Arabidopsis thaliana: one gene and its partners. The protein of the gene in region 2 interacts with the protein of the main gene of each other region in a pairwise test. Each region holds a gene or a part of one and is shown on either strand. Other genes may lie near its edges. The genes, in order: AT1G22570, ZF14, GONST1 and AT2G41820.

Evidence for each region.
Region 1: the proteins of ZF14 (region 2) and AT1G22570 interact in a protein complementation assay, tested with the Arabidopsis thaliana proteins (one large-scale study listed by BioGRID).
Region 3: the proteins of ZF14 (region 2) and GONST1 interact in a protein complementation assay, tested with the Arabidopsis thaliana proteins (one large-scale study listed by BioGRID).
Region 4: the proteins of ZF14 (region 2) and AT2G41820 interact in a protein complementation assay, tested with the Arabidopsis thaliana proteins (one large-scale study listed by BioGRID).

The regions. Positions count from the first base shown.
Region 1 is NC_003070.9:7,975,683-7,981,223, reverse strand, and holds AT1G22570 (Major facilitator superfamily protein), read left to right. Parts: upstream 1-2,413; 5' UTR 2,414-2,650; coding exon 2,651-2,774; intron 2,775-2,776; exon of another isoform or gene 2,777-2,842; coding exon of another isoform or gene 2,843-2,855; coding exon 2,856-3,073; intron 3,074-3,169; coding exon 3,170-3,729; intron 3,730-3,808; coding exon 3,809-4,604; 3' UTR 4,605-4,800; downstream 4,801-5,541.
Region 2 is NC_003070.9:21,650,993-21,656,459, forward strand, and holds ZF14 (MATE efflux family protein), read left to right. Parts: upstream 1-1,995; 5' UTR 1,996-2,169; coding exon 2,170-2,331; intron 2,332-2,688; coding exon 2,689-4,125; 3' UTR 4,126-4,447; downstream 4,448-5,467.
Region 3 is NC_003071.7:5,686,057-5,692,725, reverse strand, and holds GONST1 (golgi nucleotide sugar transporter 1), read left to right. Parts: upstream 1-1,954; 5' UTR 1,955-2,195; intron 2,196-2,408; 5' UTR 2,409-2,422; coding exon 2,423-2,772; exon of another isoform or gene 2,773-3,016; coding exon of another isoform or gene 3,017-3,099; coding exon 3,100-3,229; intron 3,230-3,736; coding exon 3,737-3,835; intron 3,836-4,383; coding exon 4,384-4,538; intron 4,539-4,620; coding exon 4,621-4,737; coding exon of another isoform or gene 4,738-4,741; exon of another isoform or gene 4,742-4,890; coding exon 4,891-4,988; intron 4,989-5,089; coding exon 5,090-5,142; 3' UTR 5,143-5,410; downstream 5,411-6,669. Other genes in the region: AT2G13660 (uncharacterized protein), read left to right, coding at 1-44, 109-434; AT2G13640 (Transcription factor IIS family protein), read left to right, coding at 5,436-6,590. UniProt on the Arabidopsis thaliana protein: Involved in the import of GDP-mannose from the cytoplasm into the Golgi lumen. Required for the luminal synthesis of a variety of plant cell surface components. Is required for the correct mannosylation of the glycosylinositol phosphoceramides (GIPC).
Region 4 is NC_003071.7:17,444,578-17,451,338, forward strand, and holds AT2G41820 (Leucine-rich repeat protein kinase family protein), read left to right. Parts: upstream 1-2,166; 5' UTR 2,167-2,592; coding exon 2,593-4,936; intron 4,937-5,008; coding exon 5,009-5,337; 3' UTR 5,338-5,531; downstream 5,532-6,761. Other genes in the region: AT2G41830 (Uncharacterized protein), read right to left, coding at 5,854-6,018, 6,120-6,359, 6,458-6,568, 6,656-6,761. UniProt on the Arabidopsis thaliana protein: Leucine-rich repeat receptor-like protein kinase that may play a role in vascular tissues development.

The DNA of each region.
Region 1 (5,541 bases), about 14 Mb from region 2:
TTTTCTTCCCCTTTCATTGTTATGGTGCTCAAGCGGTTTCTCATATTTCTATCAATCAGCTTGACAAATTTCTCTTTTCTTGATGGTTTTTCTCCGTGTCTTCTATCATTCCTTTCACGCCAAATAGAGTGTATCGTGTTTTGGAACACATACCTTAGTATAAACCTTTTCGTTGTGTCTCGGTTTTTGTTCGCAAGCTCCCTCATGATATCCCGCCATTTTTCAGTGAACTTGTTTGCTAGGATCCCCCGTGCCAGCTCCTCCCACACCTTTCTCGAATACGGACATTGGAAGAACAAGTGCTCTCTTGTCTCCAAAGGATCTTGGCATAAGACACAGCTTTGATCTGCATTTTGGTTTCATTGAAACATCCTTTCCCCTGTTGCTAACCTGTTTTTCATCATTAACCAAGTGACAAACCCATACTTTGGTGTAGCGTACTTGCAAAATTTCGTACTTGCAAAAGAAGTTTCTACGAACTTAATGATGACGGAAAAAAATACATATGAAACACTCTACATAAACTAGTATTAAAATTCTTTATCTGCATGGTTGTTCCTTAAGATAGTTAGAGATCATTTTTGGGAAGTAAATAAATTTCCACTAAAACTTAAGACATTATTTGAAACACCGGTACACCGGTATAGTGCCTTCTAAAGAACATTCAATGTTCAAGACTTCCAAGTCATAATATTTTTTGTTTGACTTTAAAAGAGAGGAATCCATGTAAATATAATTTATTCGATGTTTGTTTGTATCTTTTCGTGAGCTTAAAGATATTACATATCTCGATCCTTTCAATATTGTTAGGTCATGATGCCATTTATCGATCTTCCGCATGTCACGCCGTTCAGTCTAGGCGTGAGTACCAATCCTAACTCCTAAGGATACGACATCATAGCAACTTAGCAACCATGTATGATAAAATGGTTCACACAAATTATTTAGGCCCGTATTTCGGCCCCTTTTGATTTCGAAATATTTTGGGCCTATAAAAAAGAGAGAATGTTTGAGACTCGAGAGTAGTAAGAAAGGAGAGAACGCAGGTTTTTTTTTTTAAATGAATGATTTCAGAGAACGCAAGTTATACACGTACTACACGTATAACACGTTCCTCAGCAAGACAACAATATTATCTTATCCTCAAGTGGATGCAAATAATATAAAGATTTTAATATTCATTTACTACATCAACCCCCAAGAACAAAAAATGTCTTCAACAAACAAATCTACAATCAACGAAACAAACGTAATCACCAAATATGAATCAATCAGCAGTATGCTGAAAATTGTTGCCAACATAATTTAAGCATGCGACTTTCAAAAACTCGAAAAATTGTCAACAATTTGAGTAATCCGAATTTTTCTGTTTCTATTACACATGAAAAGACAAAGTAACATTCAAAATCCATCTCATCTGCTTGGCGCGATAACATATCTGATAAGACTTTTTTTTGTGTGTCCAAAGCTGATAAGGTTTCCAACTTTATCAGAATCAATCTATATTTGACTATTCAAAACTGAAATACAGGAGATTATTTCTGCTATGAACAAATATTATTTTGACTATTTGACTGATCTATCACAAACATCTTAGCCAAAAAATAAAATTTAGTGACCACAGCTTGAGAAAAAAGGAAACATTCGTGTAGAATGTATTTTGCTGATTTGTGGAGAGTATAGTCTTGTGCTGTGAACAAATACATTCATATTACCCTGCAACTTGCAAGTAAAAAGAAGTTATGAAGTGACAGCTAATCAGGAGATAAGAATAACTCGATCATAAATACGGAACACCGCAACAAGCGGACCAAAGAGCATGCAAGTAGCCACTAGCCAAGTAGGAGAAAGAAAAATATACAACTACATAATAAATATTCCAAATTAAAAACTTATTGATTTAGTCTCAGCATTTATACAAATGTAAAATGTTTATACAAATGTTGTCTATTTTTTTTATTGTTAACGAATTTTCTAATTTTGAAATAATAGTGATCAATTATGTTGCTTTTGTGACTAAAAAGTAAGTGAATTTACAAATAAAATGATACGTCAAAATTATGGTTAGCTAAGCCTAAGTCTAAGAGCTTGAATGATATATGGATTTTTGGTCGATCCAACCCAAAAACATCTAAATATTCTATCAACATTTATACTCAAATAACAATTGTACATCACTAAGTTACATGTTTTTTATAACTTAATTTTAAGAATAAGTCGTGATCAATCAAATTACCCTTGATGTTGACTTTTGATTGAAAAAAATGACAAAAAGAATTTGCTGATACAAAACAAAACATGGCAAATATCTAGCTCGTACGTGTATCACTTGTCCAAAGGAAGTATGCGTATTATTGCGTAATAATACAATAATATCGGAAAGTTATATAAAATAAAAATACAAATAAGATAATGTAATTGCATACTTATTTTTTAACGCGTATAGTACACTCATCTCAAATGCCAATAAATATACAGATACACATAAAAGAAAGACTAGAAAGTTTAGTTACCCAAAATATCATAAATTAATGTAATCGTGTTCACTAGTTGCGCAAGACAAAGAGATCTTTTAGCTTAAAAATCTCATTTAGGCATTTACCCTTTAAAAAGTTTTCACAGAGATTCTCAACCTCTATTGGTGAGAGAAATGAAGATACCAGAGGAAGAAGTTGCACTCTTAGAAGATTACGTTAGCGATTCCGTCGACCACCGTGGATTTCCCGCCGGAAAATCTTCCACCGGCGGATGGAGATCGGCCTGGTTCATTATAGGTAAAACACATCAGAAACAATCCAATTTTTTTTCTTTTTCTAGTTAAACTTCTAAGTCCCAGTCTTAAATGATTTGTTTAGGTGTGGAAGTTGCAGAGAGGTTTGCTTACTTTGGGATTGCCTGCAATTTGATTACTTACCTCACCGGACCTCTCGGACAATCGACGGCGAAAGCTGCCGTGAACGTGAACACGTGGTCGGGAACTGCCTCTATACTTCCTATTTTAGGAGCTTTCGTAGCTGACGCTTATCTTGGTCGTTACCGTACTATTGTCGTAGCTTCCCTCATCTACATATTGGTTAGTACTTTTGTCTTCTTCTAGTTAAACCGGTTTGATCTTTGTATGATTTAAACCGGGATTTTAGCTGAATTTGGAGGATTATTATTATTACAGGGGCTAGGACTATTGACGTTATCAGCTTCTTTAATCATAATGGGATTATCTAAGCAACGTAACGACGCTTCTGCTAAACCATCTATTTGGGTTAATACACTTTTCTTCTGTTCTCTGTATTTGGTGGCGATCGGACAAGGTGGACACAAACCGTGTGTTCAAGCGTTTGGTGCGGACCAGTTTGATGCTGAAGATCCGAAGGAGGTAATAGCGAGAGGGTCGTTTTTCAATTGGTGGTTCTTGAGTTTATCTGCGGGAATAAGCATATCGATTATTGTGGTCGCTTATGTTCAAGAAAATGTTAATTGGGCGTTTGGGTTTGGGATTCCTTGTTTGTTTATGGTTATGGCTCTTGCTATCTTCTTGCTCGGGAGGAAGATATATAGATACCCAAAGGGACATCATGAGGAGGTTAATAGTAGTAACACTTTTGCAAGAATCGGTAGAGTTTTTGTTATTGCGTTCAAGAATCGGAAACTGAGGTTAGAACATTCTAGTTTGGAATTGGATCAAGGTCTATTGGAGGATGGTCAGTCCGAGAAACGTAAAGATCGGCTCAAGTAAGTTCGAATATTTTGTGTTTTGTTTTAGTCTTTTGGCATAATTTTGAGTGTAAATTTCTTTACCTTGTGTGACAAGTTTCCTAGCAAAAGCAATGATCTCAAGAGAAGGTGTTGAGCCATGTAGTGGTAGGGACGTGGATGACGCGAAGGCTTTGGTAAGGCTTATTCCGATATGGATCACATACGTGGTGAGCACGATTCCGTACGCTCAGTACATAACTTTCTTCACGAAGCAAGGGGTCACGGTGGACAGAAGAATCTTACCGGGAGTAGAAATTCCAGCGGCTTCTTTATTGTCATTCGTTGGTGTATCTATTCTCATCTCAGTGCCCCTATATGAGCGTGTATTTCTCCCGATAGCTAGGAAGATTACCAAAAAGCCTTTTGGGATCACAATGCTCCAAAGGATAGGAGCTGGAATGGTGCTTTCAGTCTTCAATATGATGCTCGCTGCATTAGTAGAATCAAAACGGCTAAAAATCGCTAGGGAACACGGGCTAGTGGACAAGCCGGACGTGACCGTTCCAATGTCCATATGGTGGTTCGTCCCTCAGTATTTGCTACTCGGGATGATCGATCTGTTCTCTATGGTGGGAACACAAGAATTCTTCTACGACCAAGTCCCAACGGAGCTAAGGAGCATTGGTCTCTCGCTTTCTCTGAGTGCGATGGGTCTTTCAAGCTTCTTGAGTGGTTTTCTCATCAGTTTGATTGATTGGGCTACGGGAAAAGACGGCTGGTTCAACTCTAACTTGAACCGAGCCCATGTGGATTACTTTTATTGGTTGCTCGCTGCTTTCACGGCCATTGCTTTCTTTGCGTTCTTGTTCATCTCCAAGATGTATGTGTATCGTCGGCTAGACCAAGTCTAAGAATTCAGAGTACTAGTTTTTTTTTTTTTTTGGTAAGAAGAATTCAGAGTATTACAGTAGAAACTCTATAAATTAATAATGGTGAGACCATGAAATTTTATTAATTTATAGTGATATTAATTTATCCTCTAAATTAATAAATATTAATTTATCGTATAAGTTAATAAATATTAATTTATAGAAATATTTACGTAAAGTACAATACTATATTCTTTTAAAAATATTTTTTAATGTAATTTTCTATATGCTTTGTTGTTTGCATATATAATTATGTTAGGTTTTTATTTTAATTTGACTTTTTTAATTTATTTTCGTCAAGATTTGTATCTGTATATCTACGACATTAACGTGAACGTAAACGTAAACATGAAAGTTAATCCAGTTTCTCTTTACACAAATCATAACAATGCTTTCTCAAATAAAAGATTTTACAAAATCAACTATGACGGATCAAATACGCAAATAGTTATGTGAGTACAACAGAGATCATATCAGTTGTATTTTAAAAAGAGTTAGTTTGAACAAAAATTTCATATAAAAATTAGTCTTAAGATATATACTTAAGATCTATGATTATTAATTTATAATATTATTGGGACTATAATTTTACATAGGGATTTTAAAAAAATTATTATCTTATTATTTTATCGATTTTGATTAATTTTTATATTGGCCCAACTTGGGACCGACAAAATTTATTAATTTATCGTGTTTATTAATTTATCGAGTATTAATTTATAGAGTCTCTACTGTAATTTTGTTGACTTTCATATCAAACTTGTACGTTAACATGTTTATAGTTTGACTTCTTTTTTTTTTTTCGTTTTATTTCCAAAGTATATAGAATTGGCAACTTAAACATAAGGTAGAGGAGCCTACCAAAAAAAACATATCTATCATTGCATGGGTTTGGATTGGATAGCATTTATTTTTGGTT
Region 2 (5,467 bases):
GCCTTAATTTCTCTTCTTCTCCACATGTCGTTCCCTCACCATCAGACTCCCAACACATGTTACCATATAGATATTAAGCCATAAATAACTCGTCATACAATTGTACAAAGTATTTATAGTTACGTTGTACAAGAAAAGTATTTAGAATTGGTTAATTTGCGATAAGACCTTTAGTCTACTTGATATATTTTTGCATACACGTGAGAAATTTGGTCAATAGAAATGCTGATCTACCGATAACGGTTTTGATCCTTTTCACGCCAAATTTTATAGAAAATGATCATATGCCAAAAACATATACAACAAATGAAATTGCATGTTGTGGTAAAATATTGATACAACGTTTTAATTAATTGTAATCATTTGATAGAAAACAAGCTATTTTAACATTAATAAGTTATATATAATAAATAAGTTACTATTAATATTTTACATTTACTTTTATAAAGATTTATTTATTTTAAATAGTTTTTAGGTTTCATGGTATGGTGGCAATGAACATGCTTTCAAGCCATTTTCTGCATAATAGTGTTTAACATTACATTACATTACATATATTCATTAAACCTAAATGTTAAAATTATATATGCTAAAGTTGCAATAGACATGCAATTTGAAATTGGAAGAAAATGCTAAATTAAATCTCATGCCATTTTACAGCATAATTTGATATTTTAGACATAGGAAAAACTTAAATTTTATCTTGATTGACTAGGAAAACTTAAATTAACCGTTAGTGCAAAAAAAGAAAGGATTATCTTCACAGAAAGTATATAGACTAATCTAGTGCAGTTTCCTGTTTGACATCATTACACCTAACCTTAAAATTTTCGGAGTTATAAAATAGGACCGACCTCTGTTTCTAAATGTTTCAGCGGAATTAAAGAAAAACAAAATGGCATAAAATTTGTAATTGTGTCACAAATCACAAATGATATAAAATTTCATTTTTTATCAAAAAAAAAGAAAAAAAAAGAAAAAAGAAGGAAAAAAAAAAAGAGAGAGGCAAAATTGGCATATTAATAGGACCGACCTTAGTTGGTTTTGTTTGTTTTTAATATTTGCTATGGAGTATGTGTTTTAGCAAAAACAAATCATAAATGTATATACATTGTTAAGTGTATAAAAATTGTAAATCCGTAAAATTTGAGTCAAATAGCATACAATATCTATAAATGCCATAAAAATGTAAAATTCATTTAATTATAAATCTAAATCCTAACTACTATTATATAAATCCAAACCGATATATAATCTCGTTTAATTAGAAAATTTAAAACCTTTATTATCTTTTATAAACCTAAATCAATATTTAAACTTGTTTAATTGTAAAATTTAAATCTGTTTATAAACTCAAACCGATATTCAATCTCATCAATCATAAAATTGAAATCTTAACTTTTTCTTATAACTGATATATAATTTTTTTATGGCAAATTATATTTTCTAATTAAATTAATTTAATATTATTTATTAGGTGGTAGATTTTGATTGGCTAGAATAAAAAAGTTCACCCAAGTATTTTTCAAAACAAGTACTAACCCCATCAACTTATGTGACCAACCGTTATTGAATAAATGCTTTTTATCCTCTCAGCCTAAGAGGTAACAACAGCCTGATATTCTAGCACTTAGGACGACTGTGAATTCGCCAGCCGACATAACCGAAAGAGTTCAATATATAGTGAAGCCCAAAGTTGAGTTAAAGATTAGGAAAGAGATTTGCTATTATTAAAGGTAATGCGATGTATTTTAAAATAGTTAACTAAACCAATTTTTATGTCTTTCTTCAAAAGTGAACTCTTGAGCTATCCTAAACCTGTGTGTCGTTCTTCTCACAGACTTATTTGGTGGACACACGATTTGTTTAGTCAAAGCAAACAAAAAAAGTCCCACTTCCCTATTAGAAAATCAATTCTTTGTTAAAAAGAAATTAAAACTAATTTTCGCCACGTGTAGAAACGATATCGCTTCTTTACAACTATAAATAGTCAGCCTTTCTCCTCCAAAAGGCCCAACCAATTCCATATTAAAAATATTAGTTCCTCTCGGTTCCTTTTATCATTTGCATAAAATCGTTTTGCCTCCAAAAGACTAAAAGCTCTAGACTTTGTCTCTTTGTCCTTTTATCTCTACTCCCAACAAAACCAGTTTACTCCTCTTAAGAATCATGTGTAATTCAAAACCATCTTCTGCTTCATCTTCCTTATTATCTTGTAAAGACAAAACCCATATCTCAAAACTCGAAACCTGTGATACAGATAATCCTCATTATTCTGAATTCAGGGATACTGATTCTCTAGACCTTAAAAGATGGCCAAGTTTTCTGGAGGTAAATTATTTCTTTTTTTTTCCTATACGTAAATGTTTGTTTTTTTCTACATAGATATGAACATAATAATTCAAGAATCTAGTTCTTGACAAAACTAGATTGTACGAACTATACCAAAAGCATATATACATATACATATATATAAATAGAAACAACAGTTTCGCAATCCTTTTTATATATATACCTAAATCTTTGGTCCCGGTTGGTGATTTGGTTTTGTCATTTTTTTATAAAGGTTTAAGATAAGCTTTATTTGATTAATATAATTAACCATTAACCAGGGAAAAGAAAAAAACGATCTACTGACGTGGACGGTTCTTGGTCTTGACTTTTCTTTTCTTAATTATCTGGCGGCAGGGCTTAGAGGAAGTGAAGGCGATCGGAAAAATCTCTGGGCCGACGGCGATGACCGGGCTTCTTATGTACTCAAGAGCGATGATATCGATGCTGTTCTTAGGCTACCTCGGTGAGCTTGAGTTAGCCGGAGGATCTCTCTCCATAGGCTTTGCCAATATCACCGGCTACTCCGTCATCTCCGGTTTGTCCATGGGGATGGAACCAATCTGTGGCCAAGCATACGGAGCTAAACAAATGAAGCTTTTAGGACTAACCCTTCAAAGAACCGTCCTCCTACTCCTCTCCTGCTCGGTCCCTATCTCCTTCTCGTGGCTCAACATGCGCCGAATCCTCTTATGGTGCGGCCAAGATGAAGAGATCTCCTCTGTTGCTCAACAGTTCCTTCTATTCGCCATCCCTGACCTCTTCCTTCTCTCTCTGCTTCACCCTCTTCGAATTTACCTCCGAACACAAAACATTACATTGCCCGTGACTTACTCCACGGCCGTGTCCGTTCTCCTCCACGTTCCTTTGAACTACCTCCTAGTGGTGAAACTTGAGATGGGAGTAGCGGGAGTCGCTATAGCTATGGTTTTGACAAATCTCAACCTTGTAGTCCTCTTATCCTCTTTTGTGTATTTCACTAGCGTGCATAGTGATACATGGGTCCCAATTACTATTGACTCTCTTAAAGGTTGGTCGGCTTTGCTCTCACTTGCCATACCCACTTGTGTATCTGTTTGTTTGGAGTGGTGGTGGTACGAGTTTATGATCATTTTGTGTGGACTTTTGGCTAACCCAAGAGCCACCGTGGCTTCCATGGGAATCTTGATCCAAACGACGGCTTTGGTCTACGTCTTCCCATCCTCTCTCAGCCTTGGTGTCTCTACAAGAATTAGCAACGAGCTTGGGGCTAAACGTCCGGCGAAAGCTCGGGTATCCATGATCATCTCACTCTTCTGCGCGATCGCCTTAGGCCTAATGGCGATGGTGTTTGCTGTGCTGGTTAGGCACCATTGGGGACGCTTGTTTACCACGGATGCAGAGATTCTTCAGCTGACTTCCATCGCATTACCCATTGTGGGGTTATGTGAGCTCGGAAACTGTCCTCAAACAACCGGTTGTGGGGTTTTAAGAGGCTGTGCAAGACCTACACTTGGTGCCAACATAAACTTGGGTTCATTTTACTTTGTGGGCATGCCAGTCGCTATTCTGTTTGGGTTTGTTTTCAAACAAGGGTTTCCAGGTCTCTGGTTCGGGTTGCTTGCAGCTCAAGCAACTTGTGCTTCTCTCATGTTGTGTGCACTTTTGAGAACAGATTGGAAAGTCCAAGCCGAGAGAGCTGAAGAGCTGACGTCACAAACTCCCGGAAAGTCTCCGCCCCTTCTCCCCATCGCAAGCTCAAAGAGCCGGTCTACCTCCGGTACAGAAGATATGATGAGAACCATGTTGGTTTAGATTGATAGCTATTCTCTGGAGGCATTTGCCATCAACATTGACGTACATATATGTTCTTGTCATCATTTTTTGGAGTTTATAGTGCTCCTTAATTTCTACTTTTTGATTTAAGAACGACTTTGTTTTGTGGGCTTTAGTGGTGTTTGTGTTATTTATGGTTGTATTGGTGTGATAGTTCTAATTAGCTTTGACTTCAGCAGTTTGTATTTTATGTGTTCCCTTTTGTAATAACTCGTGGTTTGATTATCTTTATATATTTGTCCATTTTCTAGGAGAATGTGAATTTTTTTTGTTAAACTAAGAATAAATTTATTTTATTTTATTTTTGTCACAAAAACTAAGTATAAATCAAAATGAAAAATTTAACCTCAATACAACTTTAATATATATATATATATATATATATATAAAAAGATTCCAAGATACTAGACGTGTCTAGGCCATTGAAATCTAGAGAAAGACCATACTAGTAGATCAAACCTAATGGCCGAAGACAATCAGAATAACTAAGGATACAGTAAAAATGTTCCATAATAGGTTAATTTTTTTGCAATTTATTTTGTATTCGTATTTGTGTTGTGAAAGCTTTGCTTATTTAACAATCAATTCTTTTCTTAAGGACAGGCAAGATGAATGTTTTATTTTTGAGCTTTTGGTGGTTCCATGTTCCATAAAAGGAAATTATATTCGTAGCCAAAAATGGAAAACAATTTCCTTTAATTCTATCATATTCTTTGTCTCAAAGCCATTGAGATTCGATACGTTTTAAAATTTAATTGAGATCACATTTATTTTGATTTTGGTTGTTTCCTTTGAGCAGAGAGAAAGCATCTTTTCTTTTATGTATACTTTTTTTTGTCCTGGGACCAGAACATGAATTTATACGAACTTCACAGCGATGTGGCCAAAGAATAAAACCAAATATGACAAGAAAATGAAATAAAACTGAGTGGAATCGATAATGCGTCTACGTGTCGACGATATGAATTACCTTTCAACCTTTGATATTCCTTTTCTATAGATATTTTTAAGAAATAAAATAAGTAAAGCCTAGTAAACTGAATTCCATTGGCTTGCTGAAATATCTTTGATTTTCATTGGCCATCGATAAAAAGTTCGAATTTCATTGGCCTTTGAATTATGACGAAAGAAAAGACAATTCTATATTATAAGTTTTGGACATCTACCTTTTGTTATTATTTACACGTGAATAGTTTTTTTTTTTTTTTTTTTTTTGTCTTTTATTGGTAAACACTATGAGGTCAATCATACTCATTCTAAATTTACTGGTGAAGCTATTTCGAAATTTTAAAGATATCAAACGTAGATGATTAACCACGGT
Region 3 (6,669 bases), on a different chromosome or scaffold from region 2:
ATTGTACCTACTCGCCTTTTGCCATAGATCACCAGAAGAGATTGGTTGGACCTAAACTTGATCACGAGAATTTGTAACCTCAGCCGATTAGCCCGAAATATTCATCAGAACAAGACGAAGACTCCAATTCTTCATACTCCGTCCCAATCAACCGCATCAACTTGATCAATCCACCAAGGAGAACCGATGCTCTAAACAAGCCCTTTTGGCGGAGCAAGGAATTACCTTCACTTGGGAGAAGAATCAAGCACTCAATGAACAAGGATCCATTTGATGACTTCTGGAATTTTCATCTTCCCGAAATTGGAAGAGTTAATTTGAGCCTGCAAAAGGCAACCAAAAGAGAAAGAAAGAAAGTAAATCCGAACAAGTCGGAAAGAGAAACCGGCATCAAAACAGGAAATCTAAAACACAAACCAAAAAGCTCTGATTGAAGACGGAGATTACAAAAGAAAAACAGAGCTCCCTCTCTGTAAAAGATATGAAAGAGAGAAGAGATAGAAAACTCTTTTCATTAAATGTTATAATACGAAAATGATATTCAACTATTTGTTCTCAAGAACAAGATGAGTGTCGTTAACATTAGAGTGTGAATATATTTTTGTTATAAAAATTGTCATGCGTTACGGAAAAAACAAAATGGTCATGCGTTTGGCTACACTGGTTCTTTTGGGCCTAAAGGATTTTATTTTACGTGCTCGAGTAACTTGGGCTATGGCTAGTGGATTTAGAAGTGGACTGTGTCAAAGAGTCAAAATAGATAGGCTAAAATTTCTGGTGGAAAGAATTAAGCCGAAAGGTCAACGGTATGGTACAAAGCAAAAAGGCAAATGGACCATTATTGCCAAACTTTTATTTTTATTCATTCAGATTTTGTGTCAAATTGCCAAGTTTAGAGACACATAACAGTAGTACACTTTTGCACTGACTATCAATTTAAATACGAATTCTCACTGATTAAACTAATTAAGACGCATCATTATAAATTTCTTAAATCATAAACACTAGAATCCAAAATCGATTTTCATTTTTCCCTCTTTTCTTTTTTGAATTCTTTCCTTTTTTTGATTCCTTCTTCTTCTTTAAATTCAAAATAATCTCTTATCTCTATGTCGATTGATGGTGCGAAAGAGAAAAAATTGTGCCTCAATTTGCTTAATTAACGAAAATTCGTGATTAAATTGAAAATCAACATAAAAATTGAGAATTTAAATTACCAGATACAGAACTCATAGTTTAAATCAACAAAAATAGTAAACTACTGATTTAAATGACATTTTTCCAAAAAAGCAAATTGTACAACATATTGTGTGATTTGGACCATATGGTACCAAACCATTATAACTAAATTAGATAATTTATGTTTATATTATTATTTCTTCTCAATATATAAGAGATTTATATAATAACCAATAACTATAAAATGATGAAAATTAACAAAATAACATCATAAGCTCAATACCTTAGGAGAGAACATATTTAACGTGTAACTGTCAAAGTTACTCCAAACAAAGTTTGTGTTCTTTTTTTATAAATAACAATGTTTGTGTTGAATGACCTCAATGAAGAGATTTGTTTGATAGTATTAAATAGCTAATATTTTCTTAAATTTTAGTATAGTTATGACATATTTGTATATGGCCTATTTGTATATGATCAGTATTATTCTGTTTTATTGTCTTAAAAATGATCAATATTATTCTGTATTTATAGATAAAAGGCTATTTTTCGCTTTGGAATAATTTTTAATTTCAAGAAATACATACTAGTTTTATTTATTCATTTAGACATGTTTGACATGAGTAGTTGATGAGTTTGTCAATTTTGAAATACCCACTGAGAAAATTTATTTTGTTTTACATAATGGAACTTCCTCTAACTTACGAAACTCTTAATTTTAATATAAATAAACAAACGAAAGAAACGAAAATTGGTCAGTTTTTTTTTTTTTTTTCTCTTCTGGTCAATGCCATCTCTCTCCCTCGTCTTTTCAGTTTCCTAATTTCCATTGTTTCTTCAAAACAACATTTCACAGATAGCTCCACCACGACCTGACGAAGATCCTCCGCGTGAGCAAGTTTCATGTTCTTCTTCTTCTTCCGATTCATAGTTTTTTTTTTTTCCGGTAACTTGTCATCAATTAGATCTCGTCCGAAGTTGAATCTTTAGTTCGCGAGCTTTTGGACAACTTCGAGGTAAAATTCGTTATTCTCTACACAACTTCCGATTAACGCTTGTGTAGCTACTCTCAACTTTGCTGCTTGATCCAATCTCGTCTTAAGTTGATTTTAGCTGCGAATTGGAACCGAATTGGTTTTTATGTAAAACTGTTACTTTTTTTGTGCGTGTATTGTTAAGAATGATGGATCTAGTTATATAAGCTTGAAAGAAGTTAGTTTCTTTGGTAGGTCTTAGCTTTGCAATGAAATTGTACGAACACGATGGAGTTGATTTAGAAGATGGGAAGACAGTAAAATCCGGAGGAGATAAACCAATTCCAAGAAAGATACATAACCGGGCTTTGTTATCCGGTTTAGCTTATTGCATTTCATCATGCAGTATGATACTTGTCAACAAGTTTGTTCTCTCCAGCTACAACTTCAATGCTGGGATCTTCCTTATGTTATACCAGAACTTTGTCTCGGTGATCATTGTGGTTGGTTTGAGTTTAATGGGTCTAATAACTACTGAACCACTTACTTTGAGGTTGATGAAGGTCTGGTTTCCAGTGAATGTCATCTTTGTTGGTATGCTTATCACAAGCATGTTTAGGTAAGAATGTGTTTCTACACCTTTATTTTGTGTTGGTTTGTTGAATTATATATCGATGCTCTCTTAATTCTCAAGCCTATAAGATTACTAAATTAGTAAAGTCAACTTTTTGGAGTACTAAAGGTAGTTATAAGAATCTGTACATCATCTTTACAGCAGATCGAGGATTAAATAACGTGTAGACACTTAGGTGAAACAGATAGATATTTTGGATTTACTTCACAGTAGGTCGAGATATATAGATATGTATCGTATATGTGTATGTAGGCGGTGTTTGAAGAGCAGATTGAACTTGATTGTCTATTTGAATTACATTTTCTTTGACAGTTTGAAATACATCAATGTAGCAATGGTCACTGTCCTGAAGAATGTCACTAATGTGATAACTGCAGTTGGTGAGATGTATCTGTTCAACAAGCAACATGACAACAGAGTGTGGGCTGCTCTCTTCTTAATGGTATGTTTGTCTGCTTTAAAAGTATTTCTAACTGATTCTGTAAATTGTACCTGAGAAAAAACTATTCTCAAGGAACCTATTTCAAGCTGCACATAGATAGCATTTTGATTGGAGTTTTTGAAAGATATCCTTGTCAAACAACGATTCTATACTGTTTTGGATTTGGTTTTCTCTTGTTTTCTCAAAGCACTCTCTGATCATCAACCTTAACCAATAAAGTCTAAAGCATATCTTCTTATTGATAAGTGATCCACCCTTTTGTGTGCGTACACAGTTACACTTGTCGTAGCGGCTTTCAGTGGTGTGGCATAGCCTAACCTTTCAATACTGTTGGAGATACATGTTTTTAACTGCTTCCACAATTAGTCTGCCAGGGAAATGTAATCATGTTTTTTTGTCACGGCTACTCATTGTTATATGTATATTCTATTTGTTTTTGTATAGATCTTGAATAAGTAGAGGATAAAGTTTTGATTAACCTGTGCTTCTTTCGTCCTTCATTTGCAGATAATTTCCGCAGTTTCTGGAGGAATAACAGACCTATCATTCAATGCTGTTGGCTATGCTTGGCAGATTGCTAATTGCTTCTTAACTGCATCGTACTCGGTGAGTAAACATTTGATCATTTGTGTTTTCTTTTCCCAAAATGTTAGGAGTCATTTGAAACAATAAACACATATATGAAAAGGAGATCACTTAAAAACCATGCTTTCATGTCGAGTATTACATGCTGTTTGGTTAAGACTAAGTCAATAAACTAAACAGCCTTCCCTATAATCATTACGATACTGGCTTGCTTTTGAGTTTTAAGATGCTCACGAGATACCGAGATTCTGTTACCTTAGAAAATTTTATAGCTTGCAATCCATTGTCACTGGTAACCTGAGTACTTCACTCGTTGTTAGAAGTAGGAATAGCATGTTAAAGAGAAGACTTTGGGCAAAGAATGCAAATTGACACCATCAACTTCTCAGTTCTCACTAGGTTTTCCATTGCTGGGTCAAAAAACGAGAGTGTTAGACTGTTAGGTTCCCATAAATTTATCCCTATATCCTGTCAACAAAAACCAAGTGTTTGGCTTGTTAGCTAGGCTACTATACTCTTATAAAATTTGCCACCACTTTTGACTTGCCTTATATTTTGTTGTTTTGCAGCTGACTTTGAGAAAGACCATGGATACGGCCAAGCAGGTTACTCAATCTGGAAACTTGAACGAGTTCTCCATGGTCTTGCTTAATAACACACTTTCATTACCACTTGGGCTTCTTCTTTCTTATTTCTTCAACGAGATGGATTATCTCTATCAAACGTGAGTTCCTGTCCTTATTTCTGTGTCAATGGAAAATGGTTTGTGTCATCTGAAAACAAAATGGTGTATTATATTTGTGCAGGCCACTTCTACGATTACCAAGTTTCTGGATGGTCATGACACTTAGTGGACTTCTAGGGCTTGCCATTAGCTTTACTTCAATGTGGTTTCTTCATCAAACTGGAGCAACAACATACAGGTAGCAAATTAGAGAGAGATAGAGCAATTTCAAAACTTTGCTTAAGAGAGTGTTGCTGTCCCCTAGCCTTCTCCATATATCCCTTTCCTATGTTTGCTTCTTTGTTGGTTCAGTCCTAACTAGATACATCTTTCGCTTTATTCAAAATCATAGCCTGGTGGGATCTCTAAACAAGATACCTCTATCCATCGCGGGGATCGTTCTTTTCAATGTACCGACCAGTTTGCAGAACTCAGCAAGCATACTCTTTGGTAAGCGTTCTCTCGATCAGTTCCCTTTTCCAACTTCTTGAAGGAACACATATCGCTTGTGTTGTGTATTATTATTAAACCTGAGGTGGCCTAATTTGCAGGTCTTGTCGCTGGAGTTGTATTTGCTAGAGCCAAAATGAGGGAGAAGTCCTAAAATACTAACCATCTACAACACATTTTACTACATCAATCAGTATAGGACATGGCAAAAGCTGATTAAAGCAGAGCAATGAGTTTATAACCTCAGAATTCTATGCACGTTATGTGTTTCTTGTAAAAGCTTTCGCCACTCTACTTGTATAATGTTAGTAAAATATTAATGAATGTATCGATTCTTGAGTGGTAAGAGAAGTGTTGGTTTATGTGTTTCTTCGTTTTTACCAATTTTCCAGTAAAGAAATTCAATGGTATGAGATTTCAACATAAACTGAAAACCCTAGCCACCTGATGATCAAGAACGACGGAAAGATGATGAGAGTGAGAATTGCGAAGGAGAGATCTGACTTATGCGACTTGACTGCTGCTGCAATTAAGGCTACTTACAATACACGGAACCCATGCGAAGTCGAGCGATGCATCGATGTGTTGAATCACTTGAAGTCTCTGTCTCTTTCCGTGAAGGATATACGATTGTCTGAATCAATAGTTAAACTGGAGACTTTGAGAAGTCATAGGAACCCTAGAATCCGTAAGGAAGCCCAAGCCTTGTTTCATTCATGGTTGAAGACATTCTACGCACATGGAAGCGACAACTCTTTCACAGCTGCTCTTACCAAAGATCGTCTGAAGATGAAGAAGCATGTTCTAAAAATGTGTTCGGAGTTGAAGAAGAAAGAAGAACCGGGAACTATGGCTCGTCAAGTCACTGCCTTTTCGGTGTTGAAGAATAAAGAAGACGAGAGATCTCAGACGACTGTTGAAGCAGTAGAGAGTAAGACAACGATCAAACTCTCGGAGTTGAATAGGAAAGAAGATCAGAGATCATTAACTCGTGAAACAGAGAAGAATAAAGCAAGGAACAGCTTTTTGGCTTTGAAACAGAAAGAGGATCATAGATCTGAGACTTGTGTCGAGAAATATTTTAAGAAAGAGACAAAGACCAATCTAAAGCAGCTCAACATGAAGACAAGGCGTGTCTCTTTGGAGGATGTTACAACGAAGAAGCCACATGAAGATGGTTCATTGATAAAGAAGACTAAAACAGAAAAGGAGCTGAAGAAGAAGAAAGTGGATGAGATGGTGAAGTTGTTCGAAGCAGCAAAGAAAGCTGCTGATGTGGCCAACGCTAAGGGTGTTCTCTCAGGTAAACCAGAGGTGTCTCGCTGCATTGACGCTCTCTCGTTATTGATGAAGATCAACATTACTCCAAAACCAAAAGAACCAAGGAGGATGATGGATAAGCTTGAGGGACTTACAAAACATAAAGATCGCAAGATTTGCCATGTTGCATCAGCCCTTCTTCACCTTTGGAGACAGAGGATCAGAGAACAAGAACGTAAAAAGTCTGTTACCAAGGCTTCATCAAAGACGAGGAAACTTAGTTATGTGAAGATCATATGGCTTGAACAAATCAAAGTCTCTTGTGGATTCAAAAGGTTCTGAACCATTTTATTGAGATCGAATATAAGTGTGAGGAAGATATAAACTCATTGTAAGCATGGTTGAGTGCTGAGCAAGTATA
Region 4 (6,761 bases), on a different chromosome or scaffold from region 2:
CAGAAAGTCAGTTTGATAGGTAAAGCATCCATAAGCTAATGACTAAGTTTTCATTGTAATCATTGGTTAACATTTTCTCTAACAATGTTAATTATTGAAAATTTAAAACAATTAACTACACTTCTTATCTCCCCTTCTTCACGAGTTTAAAGCGACGAGGTGCTTCCATCATTATGTCTTCTCTTTTTCTTGTTGCTCTTCTTATGATTCGTCTTTAACTCATTCGCCTATTTGTGAAAAAAATAGATTGCTTGAAAAGCATAAAACTAATCAACTGAAAAAATGTATATGCATAATTAAAAATCAATTCATAGAAAAATTCAGTCGTACTTTCGTCAATTCATGGATTTATTTTTTGTTGTAGCTAAAACTTCAGTTGTACTACCAAAACAAGAAGAAGTTCAACGTCTTGTTGATAGTATCATGAGTTGTGAAAACTCACGTGAAAAGAAATGTAACTATGTAATAAAGTTTTTTATAGTATTAATAGAATAAAACTTGCTTAATTGGTGGTGTTATTTATATATACTTAATTAGGCAATTAGGTTTCAAGAAGAGGAAAAAAACGATGGGACGGAGGTGGTGAGTGGTGGTGGTCGGAGCAGACAAAGAAGGGTCCTACAATTTGCCTAACCGTAAAGAGCCACATTCCTTTTTCTTTTACCCCATCCCGTGAGTGAACCCCACTCTTCCTCATTCTATTATTCTCAATCTATATTTTCAAAAATAAACATAAATATACAAACTCTTTGCAGCATAAAGGAATATGTTGATAAAACGGAGCTTTGTTTATGATTTTGTTTCATTATGATATATTTTTTTTAAAACATTTACCAACAATTTCTTAGAAACATAAATTAAGAGCTAACTAGTATATCTAGTATTTCTCGAAACCCAAACTCATGTTCTTAATTTTTTATTTTTTTCTGGAATGTTAATGACTATCGGATATTTGAGTATAATTGTATGAATTTGCTTGACTGTTGCATACTTTGAATCTTTCTTTCTAGTTTACAATTGTGCAAATTAAATCAAACTCGTTTTCAGTATTTTACCTTTTAGTACTATACTTAATTATGTCATCTGTATCAGGTAATAGTTAGAGGAAAGAGGAAAATGGTGTAATATAAACAACAATTATTTGTATGTGAGTTTACGACCATCATCTAGCTTAAAGTACACACCAATGAGAATATGAACACAGTTTAGCTCAACTCATATATGATCTATCCGACATCTTTTCAATGTTTTGGGTCGCGTAGGAGTATCGGAAGCAGCTTAAGACATAGCTATTTAATAAATTGTTGGTATGTTTTATTTATAACAATTATCACAAAATCAAAAGATACTAATCTCGCTGTTTGAGGCAGACATCTGAGAAAACATGTCTTCTACCAACATTCAAGATTTGACAAATCGTTGTTTACGTATTGTTATATTGAGCATCTTACAACAAAAATTTACGTGTATTTTGAAACTCGGAAATCAATCATATCTATTGATATTAACACACAGTGTTTCCTGACTATCGTCGCAGACGAATAATAATAGTAATAATCTTCCACCTCGTGTGATTCTATAATCTTATATTCTTGACATAAATGTCGTCAAAATTTGGTATACATCAAACATGGATCGTGTTTAAAGTAATCATCAAAAATCACCACACGAGAGTAGATTCCCTATTGTCAAATATAGATCAAAGAGAAAACATGTAGGCTACAAATATAACCTAGTCCCTACGAATAAGAAAAATGTCATTATACCACAAATGATAACTGCAAAGTGTGTGTAAATTTTGATTTTAAAAGAAGGTAAAAAAATAAAAAAGATAGATTTGGAAACAATCTTTTACCTCTTTGGTATTGAACATTGTGACAGTATCAATCAGTATGGTACAGAAAAAACGTCAGAGGAAAAGAATTATCAAAAAACGTACACTCTTCATTTTCATTAAAATCTTTTTTTTTTCTTCCAAAAAACAAAAGCAGAAAAAATGTGTCAGAAAGATTTATGCAGCTTTCATTCATTCATCACTTGCACTGTCTCGTGAAGAAAATTAAACTTTTTTGTATCAGAAATTAATTACATTAAAAGAAAAGAAAAAAAAAATTCCCTCCTTTCCAAGTGCGTTTGCTTTGTGGAGTCTCTCTCTTCTCTCTCTCTGTCTGTGTGTGAAGTGAGAGGATCTTTGTTTGGTTCTGCAATCATAATTTCGTGATATACTAAAAAAAATGCAATTTCCTCTTCTCTCTTATAAGCAGAGACCCTACTACTCTTTGATCGAATTTTCCTTGCTCTCTTCTCTTTGTTCTCTCATGTTTTTTTCTCCCTAAATTTATGGGCTTTGCTCTCTCTCTAAGCCACACTCACACTCTAAAGCACTCGTCTTTCTTCTTCTTTTTCTTCAGAAACAGTTATTTTGACTTGAAAAACCAGAGCTTTAATCCTGGATTCATGGCAAAAAGAGCATTACTTTTCTTTTCCTCTCTCACTTTCTTGTTTCATTTGGCTTAAAAATTCAATGATAATTTTGTATTTGGGGGAAAGAAGAAGAAGAACAAGAGTGTGTGATTGATTCAATTCTTAAAAATGACATTTTGGTGTATGTCAATTCTTCTGATTGTTGGGTTCTTATCAAAATCTGAGCTTTGTGAAGCTCAACTAAGCGATGAAGCCACATTGGTTGCGATTAATAGAGAGCTTGGAGTTCCAGGATGGAGTAGTAATGGCACTGACTATTGTACTTGGGTTGGGCTTAAGTGTGGTGTCAACAACTCTTTTGTTGAAATGCTTGATCTCTCAGGGCTTCAGCTTAGAGGTAATGTTACTCTAATCTCTGACCTCAGAAGCTTAAAGCATCTAGATCTTTCTGGTAACAACTTCAATGGACGAATTCCTACTTCTTTTGGCAACTTGTCTGAGCTTGAGTTTCTTGATTTGTCTCTGAATCGTTTTGTTGGAGCGATTCCGGTTGAGTTTGGTAAGCTTAGAGGGCTTAGAGCATTCAACATTTCTAATAACTTGCTTGTTGGAGAGATACCTGATGAGCTTAAGGTTCTAGAGAGGTTAGAGGAGTTTCAGGTCTCTGGAAATGGGTTAAATGGTTCTATACCTCACTGGGTAGGGAATCTGAGCAGTCTCAGGGTGTTTACAGCTTATGAGAATGATTTGGTGGGTGAGATACCGAATGGGTTAGGTTTGGTTTCTGAGTTGGAATTGTTGAATCTTCACTCAAACCAACTTGAGGGGAAGATTCCAAAAGGGATTTTTGAGAAAGGGAAGCTTAAAGTTTTGGTCTTGACACAGAATAGATTGACCGGTGAACTCCCTGAAGCAGTAGGAATCTGCAGCGGCCTCTCGAGCATTAGAATTGGGAATAACGAGCTTGTGGGAGTCATTCCGAGGACAATCGGGAACATTAGTGGACTTACTTACTTTGAAGCAGACAAGAACAATCTTTCAGGTGAGATTGTTGCAGAGTTCTCCAAGTGTTCTAATCTCACTCTGCTGAATCTGGCAGCTAATGGGTTCGCTGGAACCATTCCAACAGAGCTTGGTCAGCTCATTAATCTTCAAGAACTGATTCTCTCAGGTAATAGTCTCTTTGGGGAGATCCCTAAGTCGTTTCTTGGAAGTGGAAACCTAAACAAGCTTGATTTGAGTAACAACAGACTCAACGGAACCATCCCAAAGGAACTCTGCAGCATGCCAAGGCTACAGTATTTACTTCTTGATCAAAATTCCATAAGAGGAGACATACCTCATGAGATTGGAAACTGTGTGAAGCTACTTCAGCTCCAACTGGGTCGAAATTACTTGACGGGAACCATTCCTCCTGAGATTGGTCGCATGAGGAATTTGCAGATAGCACTCAACTTAAGTTTCAACCATCTTCATGGATCATTGCCTCCCGAGTTAGGAAAACTCGACAAGCTCGTGTCATTGGATGTCTCTAACAATTTGCTCACAGGATCCATACCGCCACTACTAAAAGGTATGATGAGTTTGATCGAGGTTAATTTCTCAAACAACCTTTTGAATGGTCCAGTGCCAGTCTTTGTTCCCTTTCAAAAGTCTCCAAATTCGAGCTTTTTGGGAAACAAAGAGCTTTGTGGAGCACCATTGAGCTCTTCTTGTGGATATTCTGAAGATCTTGACCATTTGAGATATAATCACAGAGTCTCCTACAGAATTGTGCTCGCAGTGATTGGTTCTGGTGTAGCTGTCTTTGTATCAGTCACTGTGGTTGTTCTTCTCTTCATGATGAGGGAGAAACAAGAGAAAGCAGCGGCTAAAAATGTTGATGTTGAAGAAAATGTTGAGGATGAGCAACCAGCAATTATCGCGGGAAATGTCTTCCTTGAAAATCTTAAACAAGGAATTGATCTTGATGCAGTTGTGAAAGCAACTATGAAGGAGTCAAATAAACTCAGTACGGGAACTTTCAGTTCAGTTTATAAAGCCGTTATGCCTTCGGGGATGATTGTTTCGGTGAAGAAACTCAAGTCTATGGATAGAGCCATATCTCATCATCAGAACAAGATGATCAGAGAACTCGAAAGACTCAGCAAACTTTGCCATGACCATTTGGTTAGACCGATAGGGTTTGTTATATACGAAGACGTTGCTCTCTTGTTGCATCAGCATTTACCTAATGGTAACTTAACTCAGCTGATTCATGAGTCCACCAAGAAACCAGAGTACCAACCTGACTGGCCAATGAGACTGTCCATAGCTGTTGGAGCAGCAGAAGGTTTAGCATTTCTCCACCAAGTCGCCATCATTCACCTCGACGTTTCCTCTAGCAACGTCTTGCTAGACTCTGGTTACAAAGCCGTGCTTGGGGAAATCGAAATATCGAAACTTCTAGATCCCTCTAGAGGCACCGCGAGTATTAGCTCAGTTGCAGGCTCTTTTGGCTACATTCCACCAGGTATAAAGTCTTAATTTTGTTACCAGTAACTTTATACAAAATCCAACACTTTCCCTTGGTTTATTTCTGCAGAGTATGCATACACAATGCAAGTTACAGCTCCGGGGAATGTTTACAGTTATGGAGTTGTGTTGCTTGAGATTCTAACCTCAAGAGCGCCGGTGGAGGAAGAGTTTGGTGAAGGAGTAGATTTGGTGAAATGGGTCCATGGAGCTTCAGCGAGAGGAGAAACACCGGAACAGATACTCGATGCCAAGCTTAGCACCGTGTCTTTTGCTTGGAGGAGAGAGATGCTTGCAGCTCTGAAAGTTGCATTGCTTTGCACAGACATCACACCTGCAAAAAGGCCAAAGATGAAGAAAGTAGTTGAAATGCTTCAAGAGGTTAAGCAAATCAAATGAGCAAATGAATATATAGTTTCCTCTTGTGACATTCATATACAAAAGAAAACGCATTCCTATATATGCGAGCTTCTCCTCTGTGTATTATATAGGTTTTTATGATAAAATTGATCCGCTTATGGTTGATTTACTTATCCAATGACACAAATTATAAATTAGATCATAGAAGAACCAATGTACATCTTGAGGGAAACTGTTCAACAAAGCATCTGTTGTAGAATCTTAAGATTACAATACCATGTGAAAACCAGATGGCCTCTTTCAATTTTTTACACATCACACCAAAAAGAAACAAGAATTGGACAAAAGAATAAGTGAAAAGAGAAGATAGGAGTAAAAACCTAGGAGGAATGATCTAATTATAGCACGACGGAGATAATTCCGATTTATGATGCTAAAGAATCTATAAAAACGTAACCCAAGACTTTGAAAACCAAGCAAACCTATTTTTGTTATGTTTTGTTTGAGTTCTTGACTGGAATTCAAAGCCAAACATGGTTTGGATCCTGCCGATGATCAACAGCCAGCAGCTTTAAGGAAGTTGTCGTAAGGGCTTGAGGCTGGTAGTCTAAATGCTTGTGGGTTATTTTGTAGTTCTGCATAGCACGGTGACTGAATAGTTCCCACTGGTGTTCTTGGCGATTTCATGTCGAATTCTTTCGACAGTAAAGGGACTTCGACCTAAACAAATTTCAGTAATCAATACAAAAATGGTTAAACAGTTATCTTGGAATATGAAACCGGAGGCTATCCACAGGAATTCATAGCGAAGGCATACATACCCCAGTATGAAATGCTGAATTGATCATAGGATGAAAAGATGCAATCTTGATCTCTTCATCATGTTGTCGTGGAGAGCAGTTAACAGAACTCTCATGTCGTAGCTGAGAATTTAAAAGACTCGAGATCTTCTGCTGTTTTCCCATTAACAGATTCTCACAATGCAGCGTCATCTCTTTGTATGAAGCATCGGCTGCAGTATGGAAGGAAATTCTACCCACTTGACGTGTTGTCTCTACGACCTTCAAACAATACAAAATAAGTATAGTTTATAGTGTGCTGTTACTTTTGATGAAGACTTTGTAATCTAGTTTCTAGGAAGCTGAAAAATGTAACTTACAGATTCTAGAATTTGATTGACGGTCAGGAGGTCTGGGATTTCAGAAAATGTTACATGATTGTTCTTTGTAACGGTTTCGGTGCCATCTCCAAACTCTTGATCCTCCGCGTCCTGAAGACACAGATGCAACATATTTCAATCTTATGTTCAGCTCGAGGTTTTCAGAGAATATTATGGGAAGCAAAAGAAGGAAGTTACCTCCTTTCGAGGTTTAACATCACCAGAATCAATCTGATAGGTTTTGTGGGTATCTTCTAAAAACCGGGTACCAAGTGGACATGCATCATCTGGCATAAATTCTGTG